2 linked regions of the Mus musculus genome follow. The protein of the gene in region 2 purifies or fractionates together with the protein of the main gene of each other region. This does not show direct contact. Links are inferred from orthologs where the notes say so. Each region holds a gene or a part of one and is shown on either strand. Other genes may lie near its edges.

What was found.
Region 1: the proteins of Pkn3 (region 2) and Arhgap26 purify together in Homo sapiens (affinity purification with mass spectrometry; 3 studies listed by BioGRID and IntAct, with this or other methods). This does not show direct contact. The link is inferred for Mus musculus from reciprocal best matches to the Homo sapiens genes PKN3 and ARHGAP26.

What each region holds. Positions count from the first base shown.
Region 1 is NC_000084.6:38,991,807-38,996,000, reverse strand, and holds the start of Arhgap26 (rho GTPase-activating protein 26), read right to left. Parts: upstream 2,849-4,194; 5' UTR 2,526-2,848; coding exon 2,372-2,525; intron 1-2,371. UniProt on the Homo sapiens protein: GTPase-activating protein for RHOA and CDC42. Facilitates mitochondrial quality control by promoting Parkin-mediated recruitment of autophagosomes to damaged mitochondria.
Region 2 is NC_000068.7:30,081,684-30,085,233, reverse strand, and holds part of Pkn3 (serine/threonine-protein kinase N3), read right to left. Parts: intron 2,419-3,550; coding exon 2,272-2,418; intron 2,194-2,271; coding exon 2,084-2,193; intron 1,996-2,083; coding exon 1,852-1,995; intron 544-1,851; coding exon 468-543; intron 385-467; coding exon 222-384; intron 52-221; coding exon 1-51.

The DNA of each region.
Region 1 (4,194 bases), on a different chromosome or scaffold from region 2:
TACAGTGGACAATCACTGGCTTTTCATTAGCAGTAGTGATCAAGATGGTCTGATTGAAGAAAATTACTATAGAGGAATTAATATGATGTGCAATGCAGCAAGCACTTCACAATAACACAGTACAAACACTGAAAACAAGTGGTAAGAAGTCACGTCGATCACATGTTCTGTTAAAGCAGAAGTTACAAGTAGTGGGGTGGGGGGTAGTTCGTCATAAAGTGGAAAGACAGGCATATTTATGCCACTATCAGTCTTTCCACAGTCTCAGAGCTGACCCACCTGTCTGGTTAACCTTTGAACCCCAATATTGCAATGAGTCTTCCCATCTAAAGAATTCATGCTCCTCAAAAATAGTGGAAGGCAAATTGCCAGTCACCCAAAATGCCTTCCTCAGATTCAATGCTCAGATACAAAAATGCAAGTCCAAATTCTAGTAGGTTTGGTCCTATAGGCTCCATTCTGGGCACAAAGGGACCACGCAAAATCCACAACCACAGGCCAGTGGATGAAGCTATGGGACTCTGGGCTAGTGATTCCCCAAGTGTGAGGTTAACACACAAATAATGCCATGCCTGCCACAGAGTACTGTGCCTCCACACCCACAGGGGCAGCCAAATGTCATTGCTACATCCTAGCATCTAGTGCAATGCCCAGGAAGTGCAGGCACTTCATATGTTTGCTGAGTGAGGCAGAAGATCAATTAAGGCTAGCCTGGGGTCAGCCATGCCCGGATGGTGCATGCCTTCAATCATAGCACTCTTAGGAGGCTGAGGCAGGAAGGGCACTGCTCCAGGCAAGCATAGGGAAACCCTGTTTCAATGAAGAGGAGGTGGAGAGAGGGGAAAGGGGTGGGAGAGGGAAAGGAGAGAGGAAGGGAGAGCAGAAGGAGAGGAAGAGAGAGAGAAGAAACCAATCAAGCAAGCATAAGGGTCAACCAAAATTTCCAGACCCAGCTTCTATGTGGGTTCCAAACTTTCCTCAAACTAGAGGTAACTTGTCCCCTGAAACAAGGCAGGCCCTGATCTTTGGCCCTGGAAAGCCTTCTGATAGCTGCCCTGAGCTTTTATTTCACCCAGGAAAGACTGGCACTTGCTGCCCTGACATTCCATCCCCTCACTCTTCAGTTTTAAAAGCAACAGGCTTACTAAGCGACATCTTGGCACTTAGGTCTTTCTCGAATGAAGCCTGGGGACCATTCAAACAGCTAGAATCCTACTCTGTTGAAGCAACCATTCTTAGCTGAATGATACCATCTATTAGGAAACCCATCACAGAGACAGGAAGAGTAAAGAGTCAAAGACAATTCCACTATCTGCCTTCCCTTCCTGAGTATCAAAATGGAAAAAAAAAATGGCTTGAACTATTTTTAAATGAACCCAATGAAAAAAGGTACCCTTCTTGCCCTGCAAGGTGCTCAATCTTAGAATGTTCTAATTTGGCCACAAGGGAAAACTCTGGGCTTCCTCTTCAAAAGTTAGGCGGCATGCACATTTTAACACACACATACACCTTGTACCGAGAAGGGGGCAGGGCAGCAAAAAATGGCTCCACAGCAGCTCAGGGAACCTTTTAAATGAGCTTAAAACTTCTCTTTTTCTGAGCAAGGGCTGAGGATTCCCTCTCAGCCTTTTGAATTTTAAAAGATGTGAGGGAGAGGACGGGTATGGAGCAAGGGAGCGGGAGACGGAGAAAGACGGATGTGTTCGGTCTATTTTTAAACCTTCGCCTACAGTTTAGAGTAAAGGAACACTCTGGTCCTATACTCCCACCCCTGTCACCTTCTGCTAAGCACAAGAATCAAAACCTGCACACGTACACCGCACTGATCTATGTCTAGGGATTAATGTCAGTGCTCCCAGGAATGCAGCTAACCAATCACCCCAACGCAGAGAACCCGGTAGTCAGGACTAGGCGAGAGCTGCGTGCAGGGCTCCTGCAGGGCTCGAAGCAGTCACCACCCTCCTCTTCCCAGGGATGGGCAGCGCCCCCTCCGCACGCTCCATTCCCAAGGCTGGGCACCGAGGTGAGCAACTCGCCCCCCTTAAGGATACCAAGCCATGGGAAGCGTGGAAGTGGTTTTCCCCAACAGGCTGCGGCAGGCTCACTCCAGAAACACCTGTGTCGCACACACCCACCCAATCCAGAGTACCACCCTGATGGCCACCTTCCGGCCGTCCCCGAATGCCGAGGGCTGAGCGACCAGATTCCTACGAGGCAACTGACTCGCTCTTTTTACATATCCTTCTTGCCTCGCAGGAGCATAGACACCGGTCACTCTGCGCCCGAGGAGGGATGAAAGCCGGTAGCGCGCGGGCGACCGGGAGCGGAGCGCCGCCGCCGGGTGCCCTCCTGCGCTGCTCCGGACACTCACTCTTGAGCGCGCTGATGAGCGACTTCCCGTCCTTGATGAGCTCCTTGATGAATTTGTTGGTCTTGTCCAGCTCCGCTTCGTGTGACTTGAGCGTCTCTCGGAAGTGAGGGCTGTCGAGGCAGCAGTCGCTGAACTCGAGCGCCGGGAGCCCCATTTCTGCCCGCGGAGCCAGCCGGGCTGAGGGGACGCGCCTCGCACGCTGGTCGGCGGACACCCGCGACGACGGCCGATCCACAGGTGTGGGTGGCGCCGGCTACCCCGCGCGCGGGGTCAGCGGGAGCAGGAGACTCAGGACCGCAGCGGGGACCCGGACGGACGGCGGCTGCTCCTGCGGAGAGCCACCGAACTGCACACCGGCAGAAAGCGCGGCGGCGGACCCTTGGCGGAGCCTGGAAGCGAACCAGCCGGGCCACCGCCTCCCCGCCTCCTCTGCGGGCTTGCTCCTCAGCAGCCTCAAGCAGCCTCGAGCGCCCTCTCACAGAAGCCTCAGCCGCCCCTCCGGCGTCCGGGCCGCCCGAACCTGCTAGCGATGACCTAATCCCCTGCAGGGCCAATCAATAAGCTTGCCTCGGCCCGACCCACGGGGCCGCCAGGGGACGCCCTGCCCTTCCGCGACTCTAACCCAATCAGATATTTCTGAAGGCGGAGCCTGGGGAGAGGGGCGGAGTCCGTGCCACCCCCTGGGTCCGCAGAGCAAGCCCCGCCCCCTCCTGCTCAGCGAAGGTTGCAGAGCTAGGAGAGAGAGCCTGGTGCTGCATTCTGTAGTGGGTGCGCCCCCCTGCCACCCTGAACCCGGCCCGCCTCGTGTGACTCTAATCCGAGCCTGAAATGAGACGTCTGCTGATCTAGGGAACCGAAGAGCCTAGGTGTGCGGAGCAGAAAAAATCCAGAATGAGAACTGCCTTTCGCCGCAGCCCACCGGACACCTCTGAGCCTTTGAGCTTGCACTCAAAATACAGCCCCTTGCCCAGAAGAACACTGAGCGCTCGGAGCTCGCAATCCCTTGCTTCCAGTCAAGCAGAACGTATTTGCTTCTTTGAAATCACTAACTCCCCTTCCCTGCAGTCCTCTCCCCCCCTACTGTCCGTCCCACTAGTGGCCACTCCTGCTCAAAACCCGCCCACGGCTGCAACCCACAGAAGGTTCTCACGTCCTTAGCAAGAATTCAGCCTTTCCTACTGGATTCTTAACACCGTTTTTACACAATTCTGTCCAATGTCTGCTACTCTTCGCTGCTGCCCAGCTCCACGAGGGCACGTGCCTCCGCAGTTCTCTGGTGGGGTGTTGCAATCCTATCCACTAGAACAGCGACTAGTGTTTAAGAACAGATAATATGCGCTGTCTAACATGTGTGTAGAAAACTATGCATCATTCTCCGACTTCCAGAGTGACCATCATCCCTCTGATCAATCACAGGAGTCAAGGTTAACCGCTCCCTCAGAGCATTTGGTAGGTTGGTTCCCAGTGTCTAGAACTGAATGATGAACTCCTAGAGAACAGAGACTGCCCTTGGCTAAATTATTTCTATACTAATTAACAACACACCTTTGGGGGTGGAGGACATGGGGAAGGTGCTTCTTTGTGTTTTCAATTGGTCTGCTATTATAAACACAGCACTAGACTCGGGATGGAACCACAAACCCAGAAAGACCTTGAAACTTGACTGCTTCTGTTCTGGAGAGGAGCATCAACCAAGGAATAGCTTTGCTGTCTGATGGAAGGATCCTTGGGAACAATGAAAACGAGTTTCAGACTCCAAAGTGTCAGAAAAAGGAGTCCTTGCATGGGAAATTAATTGATGTACTTATCGAATGAATGAATGT
Region 2 (3,550 bases):
GGAGGAGGCTTCGTGTCTTCTTTTGAGAGCGTCTTCATGGGCAGGAAGTTACTGTAAGAAGGAGATGTCTCAGCCCAGACACATTAGGGGGGGGGGGGGGTGAGGGGCGCGGCCATGTGAAAGGACAGAGGGCTCAGAGGTTGAGGAGGCAAAAGACAGCACTCAGAACCTGAAGAGACAGAGCCTGAAAAGTGTCTCAGAGTCTGCACCAGGCGGCTCACCTCGGGGAAGCAGCACTGGGGGTCCCACAGACCGCTGTTGAAGGGCGCCCTTTAGGGGGACTGGCTGTGTTTGGTGAGCTGCAGGGGGGCAGCAAGCTCATGACCAGACGCCCCCAGGCTGCCATGCTGAGGTTCATCTGGGAAGCTCTCATGAAATCCCGGCCTAGAGGAGGCAGGCGGGGCTCAGTCCCAGCATCCCCATTGGTCAGCCCAGCCCTCTCCTCACACAGTCCGTATGCTCCACACCTCTCCGCTTAGAGAAAATGCATCTCTGCCTCTGCAGCCGAGGCCTCCTTTCAATGACAGGCTCGCAGAAGGTGACCTAAAGGGACATGAAGAAAGCTGAAGACCTGGAGACTGGCCGCCTTTCACCCTGCTGGATCGTCCCCGTCCCCACCCCCATCCCCACTCCCCCACCCCCAGCGCCAGCTCCCAATCTCAGCCATGGGGGTATTCTAGTTAGTGCTAACTTTCCATATGACCCATCCGAGAGGGACTGCCTAGATTACATGGCTCGTGGGCATGTCTGGGGGGGGGTCTTGATTGTTAATTGATGTAGGAGGATCTAGCACACTGTTAGAGGCACCATTCCCTAGACAAGTGGTACTGGGCTATATAAGAAAGCTAGCCAAGCATGAGCTTGGGAGAGAGGCAGAGAGCAAGCCAGCAAACGGTTCCTCCCCAGTTTCTGCTTTCAGTTCCTGCTTATTAAGTTTCTGCCTTGGCTCCCGTAAAGATAGGCTGTAAACTGGGCGGTGGTGGAGCACACCATTAATCCCAGCTCTGAGGAGGCAGAAGCAGGTGGATCTCCGTGAATTGGAGGCCAGCCTGGTCTACAGAGTGAGTTCCAGGACAGCCAGGGCTGCAAGAGAAACCCTATCTCAGAAAAAATAAAGAAGGCGGTGGGGGGTGGGGGGGGGTGGGAGAAGAGTAGGGAGGGGGTTGGCTGTAAATCTGTAAATTGAAATCACCCCTTCCCTGCCTTCAGTTGCTTTGGCCGGTGTTTTATCGGAACAATGAGGCAAAGCTGATATGAAGCAAAACTCAGAGGACCTAGACACGATACCGTATCCTCACGGGGGCCAGGGGAGAAACTGAGGCCCAGAGGAGACACATTTACGTATTCAAGATGACATATGAGGCAGGACAAGCTCAGTGTAGAGATGTGAGCCTCCCTGTAGGCCTGTCTGTGAACCTGTCTCCATCTCTCAAGTCCCATAGTACATGGATTACCAGTTTTTATCACACAGATGCACACACACACACACACACACACACACACACACACACACACACACAGAGTTGTACTCACTGATGTAGGCAGAGGTTGACACCACACTGGGTATCTGCCCTTCCACCTTATTTTTGAGACAGGGTTTCTCACTGAACCTGGAATTCACTGTTTCAGCTAGACTTGGCTGGCCAGCGAGTCTGGAGAACCCATGTCTCTGTACGGCCAGCCATGAACTTAGAGACACACCAAGCCACACATGGTTTTTACACAGATCCTGGGGATTTGAACTCAGGTCCTCATGCTTCCACAGTAAACACTTTACCCACTGAGCCATCACCCCAACCCAAAATGTCAGTCCTAAAGATCCCCTGTTAGAGGTCAGGGGTCAGTAGGAACCTGGGCAAAGAGCCGCCCCTGAGGCACCAGACTGAGAGAAAGCTGGTGACAGGCATTGTCCAGGAAGTCCTCAAGCTTCAGAAACGCCACACCACACAACTGTCGCCAGTCCCGCCAGTGAACCCCAATCTCCAGCTCGCGAGCCTATGTGGAAAAGATCAGGCTCAGCCCTCACCTGAGTGCCCCCCCCCGTACCCCACAGCTAACCCTAACCACACAAAGGCCAGCCTACTCGGTCCAAGGAGATGATAAAACTCTGGTCCCAGGATTTCTCAGCCACCAGTCCCCATCCTGTCTGGCCCACAACACGATTGTCAACCTTCAACACAGCCAGTACCTCACCTGTAGTGCCAGGGCTTGGATTTAGGGCATGGCCAGAGCAGGGGGCCTCACCACCTCCCATGGTTTCTCCCTACTCACTGGCCAGTTCGCCTCCACCACGCTGCTGCCGGGACCTTGTTCGGAGCCAGCTTTCAGAAGGGCTACCTGCCAGGACAGCCATGGGAGACCGTCCAGGCACAGCTACCAGCAGATCTTTGCAGCCCAGGAGGCGAACCTGCAGTGTCCCTGGTTGGGAGTCAAGAGAGCCCTCTGTCAGCAGCCACCACCAATGGAACCCCAGAGGGACACCACCTGCTCTAGGAGGGTCAGAGCTAGGAGCAGCCGATCTAAACCCTACCTACCACACTTAGTTACCACCCAGCATCCTTAGCAGCCCGGCTAGCTCTCCTTCCTGAGTGCCTATGCAGTGGCAGAACACAGCAGGAATGTAAGAACAGGACTTCTCCCAAGCTTTGTAAAGCCACAGGATGAGGGAAACTGCTACCTTGAGCTCAGGGTCTGGTGGGCACCATGGTCTCAAGTGCACAGGGGCAGGCACCCGAGCATCACTCTAGCTGCCTGCCCTATTCCTTCCCACCTGATCAGCGAGGGAGAGCCCCCAATGGGGACAAAACATGTTTTGTCTAAGATCACTGAGAGTTTTGTCTCCAAGGGTAGAGGACAAGAGGAGGAAGCAGCAGATACCCAGGAGCTCCTGAGGGCATAAACCGGCTCTGAGGACACCATTTTACTAGGCTGGGTCTGGAGGTAATACTTGGAGACCTTACAGAAATACCAAGGGCGGCCCAGGCAATACACTTGTCTTAGGAAATGGAAGTTCGGCTACAAACTAGCAAATGTTTTTGTTTAAAAGCAGGATCTTGTTAGCCCAAGTTGGCCTCAAACTCACTATGTAGCTAAAGATGCCCTTGAACTCCTGATCCTCCTGCCTCACTTCCCAGGGGGTTGGGTTGTAGGTGTGTGCTACCATACCCAGTTAATTTGGTGCTGGGACTGAACCCAGGACCTCATACGCAGTAAGAAAGAACTTTATCAACGTGTCCCCAATTCTTTGCCTTTAAACAAGAGGCTCCTTTTGTCTTGCCGGACTTGCTGGCTTGGCCATCAGCACTCCCGAGAGCCCTCCAAGGCCAAGCTCAGACTCCCCCCTGTTCTAAGGAGCCCTCCTTGATTATCCAAGATAATAGTAACAGAGCTCTGTCTAGCCCTATCTATTGTGTTCTGAAGCAGGCACCAGCCGGGCTCTAGCTTGCAGCTCCCATGATCTGTTGACTGCCAGTCAGCTGCTGCTACAAGAACAGACCTCATGAAAGAACTTACAGGTAGTCCAAGCTGCCCAGGCCCCAAGGCTGCCAGG